Yarrowia lipolytica: one gene and its partner. Each later gene encodes a partner of the first gene's protein in a complex. Links are inferred from orthologs where the notes say so. Each region holds a gene or a part of one and is shown on either strand. Other genes may lie near its edges.

Region 1 (7,001 bases):
TAAATAAAATAAAGAACGCCATTACGCGTAAACAATTTAACCACTACCACCACCACAATGACTGTCGACACGCCATTTGAAGAGTTTATGCCGCCTTCTGTGCCCCAAAAGAAAACTCACACAACTCACACGCACTACAGTAACGTTCCTCATGGTGTTTCACGTGACCCCCATAAACCGTGCATTCTTGGAGTTGATGAAGCCGGACGAGGACCGGTACTGGGATCCATGGTCTACGGCCTTGCCTACTGTACCAAGGAGTTTGCCGACGAGGAGCTATCGAAAACGGGGTTCGCCGACTCCAAGACTTTGACGGCCGAAAAACGAAGCGCTCTGATGCGCGAAATCTGCTGTGATGAGACTCTGGTTGAGCATCTGGGGTGGTGCACTACGTCTATGACTGCTCAGGACATTTCGTCGGCCATGTTGCGACCCATGTCTCGTGGTGTGTACAACCTGAACGACCAGGCACACGATACAACTATGGCTTTGATCCAGGGTGTGCTGGATCGAGGTGTTCTTCTGACAGAGGCGTACATTGATACAGTGGGACCCCCCGCCAGTTACACGGCCAAGCTGAGCAAGCAGTTCCCCCACATCAAGTTCACTGTCACCAAGAAGGCCGACTCGCTGTTCCCCATTGTTTCTGCGGCCTCCATTTGTGCCAAAGTGACCCGTGACATGGATCTCAAGTCGCAAGATCTCAGTGAGGGCACATGGGGCTCGGGGTACCCATCTGACCCCAAAACGTCTGTCTGGCTCAAGAGTCACGTGGACCAGGTGTTTGGATGGATGCCTGTGGTGCGGTTCTCCTGGCAGACAGCCAAGGATCTGGTAGAGAAGGAAGAAAAGGGAGGTGTGGAATGTGTTTGGGCCGATGATCTCAAGAGAGACTCAAAGAGCGTAGAGGCGTACTTTCGAGCTGCTGCAAAAGACAAGACAAAGAGTAAGCTGGTGGTGAGTAGTGAGTGGTATGGAATGAGTGTCGGAAGCGATGTCTTTTAATGTTCGGATGAAACGAAGCAGACTGTCCGAACCCAGCAGACTCAAAGGCATGAACGGGTACTCGCTTCAATGCAAGAGGCCCGTTCTGAGGTCTCACCAACCAGCATTACTGGACTGCCGTCCAAGAACACAATGTGAACTGCTGCATATCTTTCAAGACGATAAATTATCGAGAATCAATCATCAGATACTGTACCGGCATCATAGAAGAAGAAAGGAAAGCCTGTAATTGTAGTGTGTGAAATGACCTGGAGATGTGTTTGTCAATTGTAGCTGCTACTGTCCCTACATGGGTCGCAGCAAAAACCAACAGTAGAAAGATCGGGGCTACTCTCATTTCTGTGGAATGTCATTTCGTCGTTCCGGATGCTCTTTTGACTGCTGGTTGTAATGTGCTGCAATTTCAACTGGATTTCACTCTGTGTATGGCATCTACAAGTACATACTCTGGATCATGGAATTCAATTGCATGTTTGGCGGTAGCAATGGATAGTCCTGGTTCTGCTGGTTTCAGAAATGTACTTTTTCCACCTATATCATCCAATTTTGCGCCTCTTATTCCCTTTCTCACCCTGCCTCGCTATGGACCATAACATCCCCCACCTTCCCGTTCTCTTTCCCACATAATCTGCACATGTTCCAGTTCTCTCCCAGTTCTCTCCCAGTTTTGTATCAGATTCACTTGGTCACATCCATCCTCTCATCCCTCCACGTCAACGGCCCAACACTCAACCAATCCTGGACGTCTTGCTATGATTGGGTCAAAATCACTGTCCCAAATCGCTTACTTTCAAACCCCGAGGCGCTTCACCAAAAGTGCTTCACTCCCAAATCGACTGCCTCACATCAGCAGCAACGAAATCGGTCCGTGTCGGCCTACCGCAATAATACCAGCATCTCCTGCCTGCAACCCACCCACTTGTCAGCTGCTTTGTTCAACATGCACTTTCTCCTTGTACGTAGACGTATGTACTGTATGTATGTGCGGTACCAGAGTACATACTGTACTCAGCCGTAGTTGAGTTTTGTCACACGAACTAAACCAATACGCCCCCGGCCACAGTTGGTGCGGCACGTGACTCGCTCTTTCTCTCTCTCGGAACATGCCGGTTCTACGTCTACTGGTAACCCCCCACTCCCACTTCCACTCCTACCTACCCCCCACTGAAGGCTTAAAAAAAAAGGTGGTTAATTTTTGGTTTGTCAAAAAAATCCTCGACCATGGAATTAAGGTTTGGAGCTAGTGGGCTTTGGGGGCTTTGTTAGGAGGCTGTCTGGGGTGACATTGGGCGGGTCTGCGGGGCGAATAGGGATGCCAAAAGACGGGTTGTAGTGGAATTGACCCCGTCCAAGGTCTGATGACCACTCATCTCTTCTGCCGGTCGCAGATTTATGTCCACTCGTCGCGGTTGCTGCACTAGTTTATCCGAAATATGCAAACTTTTTCCGGTGCGGAGAGTGCTCCGTGTGTTGGGACTTTGGAGGAGCTACGGCGAACCCAACATTATTTCGCTCATCTCGGATTATCCCACGTCTGATTCTCACTTCAACGCAACGCCACGCAACGACTCTTGAGAAAACATGTCTGCCCGATTTCTTGCAACTCGATTGGTTCGAGTGAGGTGAGTATGGTGAAGAGCCAGAGGCACGGATGGAGTAGCGAGCGGACCCCGACAATGGGTTGCTGACGTCCTCCAAGACCAGTGCAATGGTGATGCGAAACCGACTGTCGTGTGTTTTGTGTGGTGTGGTGGGAGGGTGCTTGTGATTGTGTTTGTGTTTACAGTGGCGTGGCAGTGATAGAATGGTCCGCACAACTGCTAAACCAGGCTGGTCAGATGAGCGGGCTCCATGGACTCGCCCTTGCCTCGTCACCAGTACTGGTAGTACGGACATGCACCGATCATCATCGGAGAAGCGTGAAAAACGAGGAGACGCCAACGATAAGAGCCTTTCAACGAATCCTCTTGTCTGTTCCCCCGATGACTCCTTTTGATAGGTGTGTCTCCATGTCATTTTCTCATTGCTGTGCTTAACTCCGGTGGTGCCTCAACACTCCAACAGCCACAATGATCACAGATGCAATTGACCCGGAACGGGTGAGGGGAATAACGTGATGATTCAAGAAAGTATACCGCAAAGTCCGATTGTCGAGTTTGACAACTAAATTCCATGGCCGAGCTCGGTGGTGTTCTTTGTTATTGCCACCATACAATCATTTATCATTTGCAAGCTACACCCAGCAACAGTTACCCACGCACTGGTTACTCTATCAAAGCGTCACTTGCACCTCTGAGATCCGCCGTGAACGACATTGTCGCTTCCCACCCAAAAATTCGTTGTATCACACCTGCACATCCCACACCTACAGAGGACAGCAGTTAGGCAACCCAGCTCAAGGCAACACAAGTACAAAGTCCATGGAATGGTCGTGTTGATAGTGATGTTGTCGCCTCGAGTCAGTTACGCAATTGCTATTTGTGTGGCTCCCTCAAACAGAGCACTGTTGTACACTTTTGGAATCCGCCGGTGGCTACCTGGTCCACCGGCACGTTCAGTCACTTGTTTGTGTTTGCTCAATCCTTTCGCTCCAGCGCTAACCCAGACCAACATTCTCTTCCTTCTCTCTCCCCACCCTCACCCGATGCTACGCCGCCAAGTCCTGGCCTAGCCACACAGTCATCGACATGCCCGCCCTGTCCCCTACCATGACCCAGGGTAACATTGGCGCCTGGCAAAAGTCTGTCGGCGACGCTCTTGCTCCCGGCGAGGTTCTCGTCGAGATTGAGACTGACAAGGCCCAGATGGACTTTGAGTTCCAGGATGATGGCTACCTGGCCAAGATTCTGCTCGACGCCGGAGCCAAGGACATTGCCGTTGGCACCCCCATTGGTGTCTACGTCGAGGACGAGGCCGACGTGGCTGCCTTCAAGGACTTCACCATTGACGACGCCGGAGGAGTCCCCAAGCCTCCCAAGACCGAGGAGCAGAAGGAAGAGGAGGAATACGAGGCCGAGAAGGCCGAGAAGGCCGAGAAGGAGGCCGAGGCTTCCAAGGAGACTGCTTCTCCCGCCCCCTCTTCTCAGTCCTCTGCCCCTGCTGCCCCCACTCCCCCCTCTTCTCGAATCTTTGCTTCTCCCATGGCCAAGACCATTGCTCTGGAGAAGGGCATCAAGCTTAGCGAGATCAAGGGCTCCGGTCCCGGTGGTCGAATCATCAAGCGAGACGTCGAGAACTGGACCCCTCCCGCCGCTCCCGCCGCCAAGGCTGCCCCTGCCAAGGGCGCTGCCCCTGCTGCTGCCGCTGCTGCTGGATCTGCTTACACCGACATTCCTCTCACCAACATGCGAAAGACAATTGCTTCTCGACTGACCCAGTCCAAGAACACATCTCCCGACTACATTGTGTCTTCCACCGTGTCTGTGTCCAAGCTGCTCAAGCTGCGAGCTGCTCTCAACGCCTCCTCCGATGGTACCTACAAGCTGTCCATCAACGATCTGCTTGTCAAGGCCCTGGCCGTGGCCAACACCAAGGTCCCCCAGGTCAACTCCCAGTGGCTCGAGTCTGAGGGTGTTATTCGACAGTTCACCAACGTGGACGTTTCTGTCGCCGTTGCCACCCCCACTGGTCTGATCACCCCTGTGGTCAAGAACGCCAACCTCAAGGGTCTGGCGGAAATCTCCAAGGAGATTAAGGCTCTGGGCAAGAAGGCCAAGGACGGCAAGCTGGCTCCCGAAGAGTACCAGGGCGGTACCGTGACCATTTCCAACCTGGGCATGAACCACGCCGTGTCCTTCTTCACTGCCATCATCAACCCTCCCCAGGCCGCCATTCTCGCTGTCGGCACCACCGAGCGAAAGGCCATTGAGGACGTTGACTCCGAGGCCGGCTTTGTCTTTGACGACGTTGTTACTCTGACCACCTCTTTCGACCACCGAGTCGTCGATGGAGCTGTTGGAGGCGAGTGGGTCAAGGCTCTCAAGCAGGTGGTTGAAAACCCCATTGAGATGTTGTTGTAGGATGATTAATAGATTGTAATTAGCAGAATGTGAACTCTGTGCGAGAAGTAGTCGCTAGTGTGACCGTTTAAACCAGTCAGTAGTACGACTGTATTGGCAAACTGATATCGACATTCCCGGCCCTGTAATCCATTGCCTTCGATTTGAGTTGTTTCATAGTTAGGTCTAAAGTCAAAACAAAATCCAAGTCATTTTGAGAATATAAAAATTTTAAAAGCTCATAGAAAAGGACATTTCCTGTCGCCCAAGTGTTTTCAAGCTTATGGGATTGAATGAGAATTCTCTGCTCTTTACTTTATCAGTATTTTCTTTCTTCCGACCTTCTTGGGGCACCTTTTCTAACTCCCAGGTTACCTTTCTTTCAAGTAATCTTCAAGTAATTGGACCTTCTTAATGACATACAGTACCGTCTAGAGCATGGGAAATCGTGCCAGTTTTCACGCCAATCACGCTCAATCATCCTCTTTGCCGGTTCAGTTGAAAGCTCCATCAATGTGGAGTTACAGGTATAATTGGCATGCTACAAATAATCCACCAACATCTGTATTTGAGACATTACCATGTATACTCACGTGTACATAATGTACTGGTGGTAAACAGCCATAAAATTTGGTTCCATGAGTCAGCTCATATTTCCTGCTACATCTGATGGTGTGGTTACTCTGTCGGGAAGACAAGCACACCAATCGATACTGGAGCTCAGTGCGGTCATTCTGATCTCCAATACATGTCCACATTCATTCTCTCGTGTTTTACAAAGTGGAACCATCCCTTCCAAGACCACCTCCCATCTCACATGCACTGTTCACGCGAAATATTTTGGGTGCAGGTGTGCTTGTATGGTGTCATGTTAGTGTGGGGAAGTCCATCAAAGCAGGAAATTGCAATTTAGAAAAATGGAAAAAACCGCTAAAAGTGTCTATAAATCACTCTGTTGACTCACGTGTTTTTTTCCGATTTCTCTGCCCATCTTCGCACACCCCAATCACGTTCATGCAAAGTCCACCGTGTCTAGTGTGCGCCATGATAAACTTTGGTTCGAGGCTACAGTAGCTACAACTATTACGCCAACACGTCACCACCATGGAACTATTCGAACAATTCGAGGAACAGGACGGCGTGCGGTTCAACTGGAACGTGTTCCCGTCGACGTCACGTGACGCCAAAGATGTCGTGCTGCCCATTTCGTGCGTGTACAACCCTCGACACAAGGCCCAGACGGTGCCGGTGGTGCAAGACACCATTGCCATCTGTGGCAACAAGGATTGTGGTTCGATCCTCAATCCCTACTGTCATGTGGACCTGGCCAGCCAGACGTGGACCTGCCGGTTGTGCATGTCTCGAAACCGGCTCATGAGCTCGGTGGCGGGTCAACTTCCCCCTGCATGTGATCCGGCCAACTCGACCGTGGAGTACAACACTGCTCGCACCGCAGCAACTCCTCCGGCGTTCCTGTTTGTGCTCGATACCAACGCCGAGCCCGAGGAACTCGAATCGCTCAAAGATTCGCTGACCCAGGTCATTGATCAGCTCCCTGAACACTGCATTGTGGGTCTCTTGTCGTTCGGATCGTCGGTGCAGTTCTACCAGCTGGGCTACCCCCACTGTCTCCGGTCGCTCGTGTTCAACGGAGCCAAGAGCTATGCAGCCAAGGAGATTGAAGAAGCGTTTGGATACAATGGAGGGGTGCCGGGAAACCGGCGCATGGAGATCACCAACCAGTTTCTGATCCCCCAGACAGAGTCTTTCGCCATTGTCGACGCTCTGCAGCAGATCAAGGCCAACAAGATTGGACCCAAGGAGGGAGATCGATTTGCCCGAGGCACAGGCACTGCCATCAACGTGGCTCTGTCGTTTGCGGAAACTGCTCTCAACCAGGGCTTTGTGCGAATCGGCGTGTTTACTGCTGGCCCAGCTACCATTGGACCCGGCAAGATTGTCGACATGCCTCTCAAGGAGCCCATTCGAGGCCATCAC
Region 2 (4,484 bases), on another chromosome or scaffold:
ATGGAGCTGTAGAGACTTGGTATTGTCTGGGCTTGCAGGTGTAATTGAGACAGTATTTTCGGAGATCCGTGAGTGTGTACTTGAAAGGTAAGCGGAGTATCAGATCTCTTGTGCGAGTACAAGTACTTGTACTAGAAAAAGGCCAAATCTGGCACAATAAAACAAGTACAAATACCCGCATTTCAATGTCTATACGGTTAAAATCTCCCCCCTGAAGAATTCCGCGGAGTTTTTCAACTCTGAGAAGGGTATATGATCCTAAAGTAGCACTCTTAACTTGGGGAAGCAACTTGAACAAGTACAAGTACAAGCAGAGTGTCAAATATGGAATAAAAGATCACAGCCTTCAATAACTGTCTATCATAATTCGTTTTGGTGAAGCCACAATGTTCGTATTAGCCACCGGGTTCCAATATACGCTTCCTTTGTTTGGAAGGCTGGCAGTCACTCTCACTTTCTTGTCAAACTCGTAGAATAAAGGCAGGGGAAAAGTAGTCATCTCGAGGGATCCAATCATATTCGATTCCAGAAGTTTTTCGAGTTCCCCTTTGAGAAAAATGTTCTTCATGGCCCTTCCATCATCTTGTAGGACACTGGACAATACGAGAATCTGCCCTCAGGGATCCAGTAGGAAGGTATGCCAAAGGAAATGTAAGACAATTGGGTGACCTGGCTCTAATTATAATGGTATATTCCAAAGCTGAACTTCTGGATAGAGTACTACAGAGAGTGTTGTCGTTAATTGTGCTTGTGTCGATTTGAGCTACAAGTAGATGTCCTTCGTGTGATTGTTGTGGAGCTCGCATTGAGATGGGGGGTTCTCGATTTGGTAGATAATACGATATCAAGTTGTATTAAATAGTATTCAGGACTACAATGAGTTTTTGCGGTCACTCAAGTGGAGTGTCAAACTTCAGCAATGTTGGATAGGGAAGTGAAGATCAGGAATACTTGTAGTCCTCGTTATTGATATGGGAGGGATACTTGAGGAGAAAAATTGGGCAATGATTCTCAGTTTGTACTGCCAGTGCTTGTATTAGTCCGATAAACAGTGAATATAGTGTTATATATGATGCTCACACTAAGGACCGACCCAAAGTCCACATCTTGAGGCATTCGGCAGTAGCAAGGGTAGACATAATAGTATCATTTAATCAGCTTGCGATTTCGAATTGGTTTCTTGTATCATTTACCTCGAATTTTCGAAATAAAAGTGTCAGAGACAAGCGCTGTCGTTTCTCAGGGGCTATACATAGACATACTACCAGTACGTATGTCGGGAAGTCCCACAAGTGTGAATCAATTCCAGGCTACATAGGCCGATTTGGTGAGTTGATTCAACAAGCCTGATCTTTCCAAGCAACTCTTTAGCGGCAAAATCGTCGTTATTCTGCCGCAAGTTTTTCTTTTTTTTTTTTTTTTTTTTTTTTTTTTTTTCAAAACTTTTCAAATTTTTATTTTTTCATATTGAGCAGTTGTCACACGCATGTAGATGTCACACAGCATGCACCAGTAACAGTGGAAGAACCTTGTAGCTACTCATTGGTCCACAGCTTCTTTGTTAAGTCTGTTCTATCATACTTGATCTTCTCCTTTGATCGGTGGTCCAGCTTGCTAATTTCTTCAATTCTTCAAGTCTCATTTTTTTAATTTTTTTTATAATAAATCATCAAATAAATCTCTTTCGACCCCCACTCCCAACAAGATGCTAGACCGGAAAATTAGTCGAGGGTTAGGGTGCGTTGTTTTTCCGTCCCAACAGAATGTCGAGACCAACGTCAGTTGTCCGAACGTAATAACGACACCTTTGAGGCACACAATGAACCGACTGTTGAGAGTTATTCCCCGGGCCCGACGTGAGTATTGCTGGCAGCGACGAGTCACATACAGATGGATGTTTTCCACATCGTGACTGCCGTTCAATTGCTCCCCTTGAGTGCATTATTAGTGACATGTGTGATGCTGGGCGGGAGTCGAAGAAGGAGACACAGAAGGAGGAGACGGAGATACAGAGTAGATTGTGGTTCACGTGGCCGTGTGATTGCGAGCAGGCCGTCTCGTTTCCAACAGCTTTCGTTTCTCTACTACACTGTTGCCATTTGTTGCTATTCGTTGCATACAGTACGCAGATATTGGACACTGAAGGAGATCAGCAATGCAGAATGGAGATGGGTGAGGACAAGAGAAAAGGGAGTGCGTTAGATGAGGTTGATTGATCGGTTTGGTTTGTTGTGGTGATTTTTGATTCTCTTGTCGGCAAGTGCATCTTCTTGGGGTTATGGGTATCCACATTCAATATCTGACGGGTTGAGTCTACATTGAGACATCTATGATGGTTGATACAGATGGTGTTATTATGAGGGTGATTTGAGGGTTGACATTTTGTGCCAGTGAATATCGACCGTTGCACAGGTTCCGTGTTTCTCGATGTCGTCACTCTCCGATCTGATCTCTGATCCACCCCTGATGACTTCCACTAATATGGAACAAATTACACCCATTCCACTTCTGTCCTCTTGTGAAATACTTGCAATTGAGTGGTACAAGTGACATTACTCTGCTCTCTTCGGTTTTTTCTTCTGGCTCTTGAATTTCGGCATTTAATCATATCTGAGACGCTGAACCGGGACTTTGCTGTGTGTTAAACTGTGAGGTTTACACATGCTATTATCCTTTCCTGACCTAGCTGCGGCTAGTCGTTTCCGTGTATTGGTTCCGTTGTTGTCCGATCGGACCCACAGCCGTCATTTTACTAACCCAGTGCTCCACACCACCCCTCGCCTCTATCAGGCCAGCAACTTTGCCATGCCAGCCATGAGTCCCACCATGACCGAGGGAGGCATTGTGTCGTGGAAGGTCAAGGAGGGCGACGAGTTTTCAGCTGGTGATGTCATCCTTGAGATCGAAACCGACAAGGCCCAGATCGACGTCGAGGCTGCTGACGATGGAGTCATGGCCAAGATCTACAAGAAGGACGGTGACAAGGACATTCAGGTCGGAGACACCATTGCTGTGATTGCTGAGCCCGGAGATGACATCAAAACCATTGATATTCCTGCTCCTGTCGAGTCGGACGGCAAGCCTGCTCCCAAGGAGGAGGCCAAGGAGGAGGTCAAGGAGGCCCCTAAGGAGGAGGCTAAGGCCCCTGCCCCTAAGGCTCCTTCTACCCCCAAGGAGGCTCCCAAGACCGAATCGTCTTCTGCTCCCTCATCATCCGGCTACTCTGCCCCCGCTAACCCCGCACAGACCCTTCTCCCTTCGGTGTCCTCGCTTCTTGTGGCCAATGGCATCTCCAAGGAGGACGCCTTTGCCAAGATCAAGGCCACCGGTCCCCACGGCCGGCTTCTCAAGGGCGACATTCTCGCCTACCTCGGAAAGGTCCCTGAGGGCTCTCCTGGCGCTGTTGCCGACGAGATTAACAAGCGATCCCATCTCGACTTGTCCAACATCAAGCCCGCCAAGAAGAGCGATGCTGCTGCTCCCACTGGGGCTGCCAAGGCTGGAGATGCTGCTGCTCCTGCTACCAAGGCTGCTCCCGAGCCTGTCATCTTCACCTCGTTCCTCGATGTGGCCCACTTTGAGCCCGAGGACCAGCTCGAGCTGCAGCGAATCGTCAAGCAGGCCATCAAGCTGGCCAAATACGACGCCGTGGAGCTCGCAAAGCCCCGCCGATCCGCCAACGTGGACCCCGACTTTGAGGCTATCATCGGCCCCGCCAAGGGCACCAAGTTCTACGACGTGAACGTCATCTACCCCAAGTCCACAAAGCGGGCTCTCTCCAATGGGGCCGACCTGTATGACATTCTGTCGGACCGAAAGCCCCGAAAGGCTGCTGTCCAGGTGCCTTCCAACACTGTGCAGGTCGATGTAACAGTCAACGACAAGGTCCCCGGTGCCGAGAAGCGAGCCAAGCTTTTCTTGAACAGACTGGAGTATCATTTGACTGTGGAGGAGTAGGAGAGACAATGTCGAGCATAAGATGATACAGCACATAGAGTGTGCTATACAGTATAACGAAGGATATATATAGGTAGGGTAAACATGTGAATGGTGGTGAAGAGCATTTGCTAAGGGGTGCTCTTATTGTAGCGTTCCTTGATGGTATGACTGTAACTCAGTAATTCAGGTCAACTACATATGTACAGTATGTATGTAGTATTGTTCTTACATGATACATTCGTAGTAAGGGTATTCGTTTTCAATTTTACAGAGCATTCCCTTAGCTCGTGCTACAAGTGCGTTGGGTAAGGATGATTTGCTACGCCTCATGATCTTCGCTCCCCTCGTGCTCTTCGGTTAATCAGTTACTATATACACAACAAGATTATTGCTTCTTCTTGTTCTTCAACTTCTGCTTATGCTTCTGTTGCCAGGTCAACTTTGTCTGGGGCTCTTCAAGCGCCTTCTTTTTGTCCTCCTTTCGCTTCTCCTTAATGTCCTCCACAAGCCCGACGGTGTTAGCCTTGAGGGTGTTGAAGTCGCGC

What was found. The genes of interacting proteins can lie anywhere in the genome.
Region 2: the proteins of YALI1_D30618g (region 1) and YALI1_B13179g are in contact, whole or in part, in a cryo-EM structure (PDB 8OHS), measured with the Neurospora crassa proteins. The link is inferred for Yarrowia lipolytica from reciprocal best matches to the Saccharomyces cerevisiae genes LAT1 and PDX1. Residues at the interface, in XP_962786.1 of Neurospora crassa: Lys263, Lys266, Leu267, Gln269, Ala270, Pro453, Leu454; in XP_956161.2 of Neurospora crassa: Leu323, Gln326, Val327, Leu328, Lys332.

What each region holds. Positions count from the first base shown.
Region 1 is NC_090773.1:3,059,204-3,066,204, forward strand, and holds YALI1_D30618g (uncharacterized protein), read left to right. Parts: upstream 1-2,586; coding exon 2,587-2,627; intron 2,628-3,610; coding exon 3,611-5,024; downstream 5,025-7,001. Other genes in the region: YALI1_D30593g (uncharacterized protein), read left to right, coding at 58-1,005; YALI1_D30653g (uncharacterized protein), read left to right, coding at 6,108-7,001. UniProt on the Saccharomyces cerevisiae protein: The pyruvate dehydrogenase complex catalyzes the overall conversion of pyruvate to acetyl-CoA and CO(2).
Region 2 is NC_090771.1:1,316,130-1,320,613, reverse strand, and holds YALI1_B13179g (uncharacterized protein), read left to right. Parts: upstream 1-2,661; coding exon 2,662-3,957; downstream 3,958-4,484. Other genes in the region: YALI1_B13150g (uncharacterized protein), read right to left, coding at 4,325-4,484. UniProt on the Saccharomyces cerevisiae protein: Required for anchoring dihydrolipoamide dehydrogenase (E3) to the dihydrolipoamide transacetylase (E2) core of the pyruvate dehydrogenase complexes of eukaryotes. This specific binding is essential for a functional PDH complex.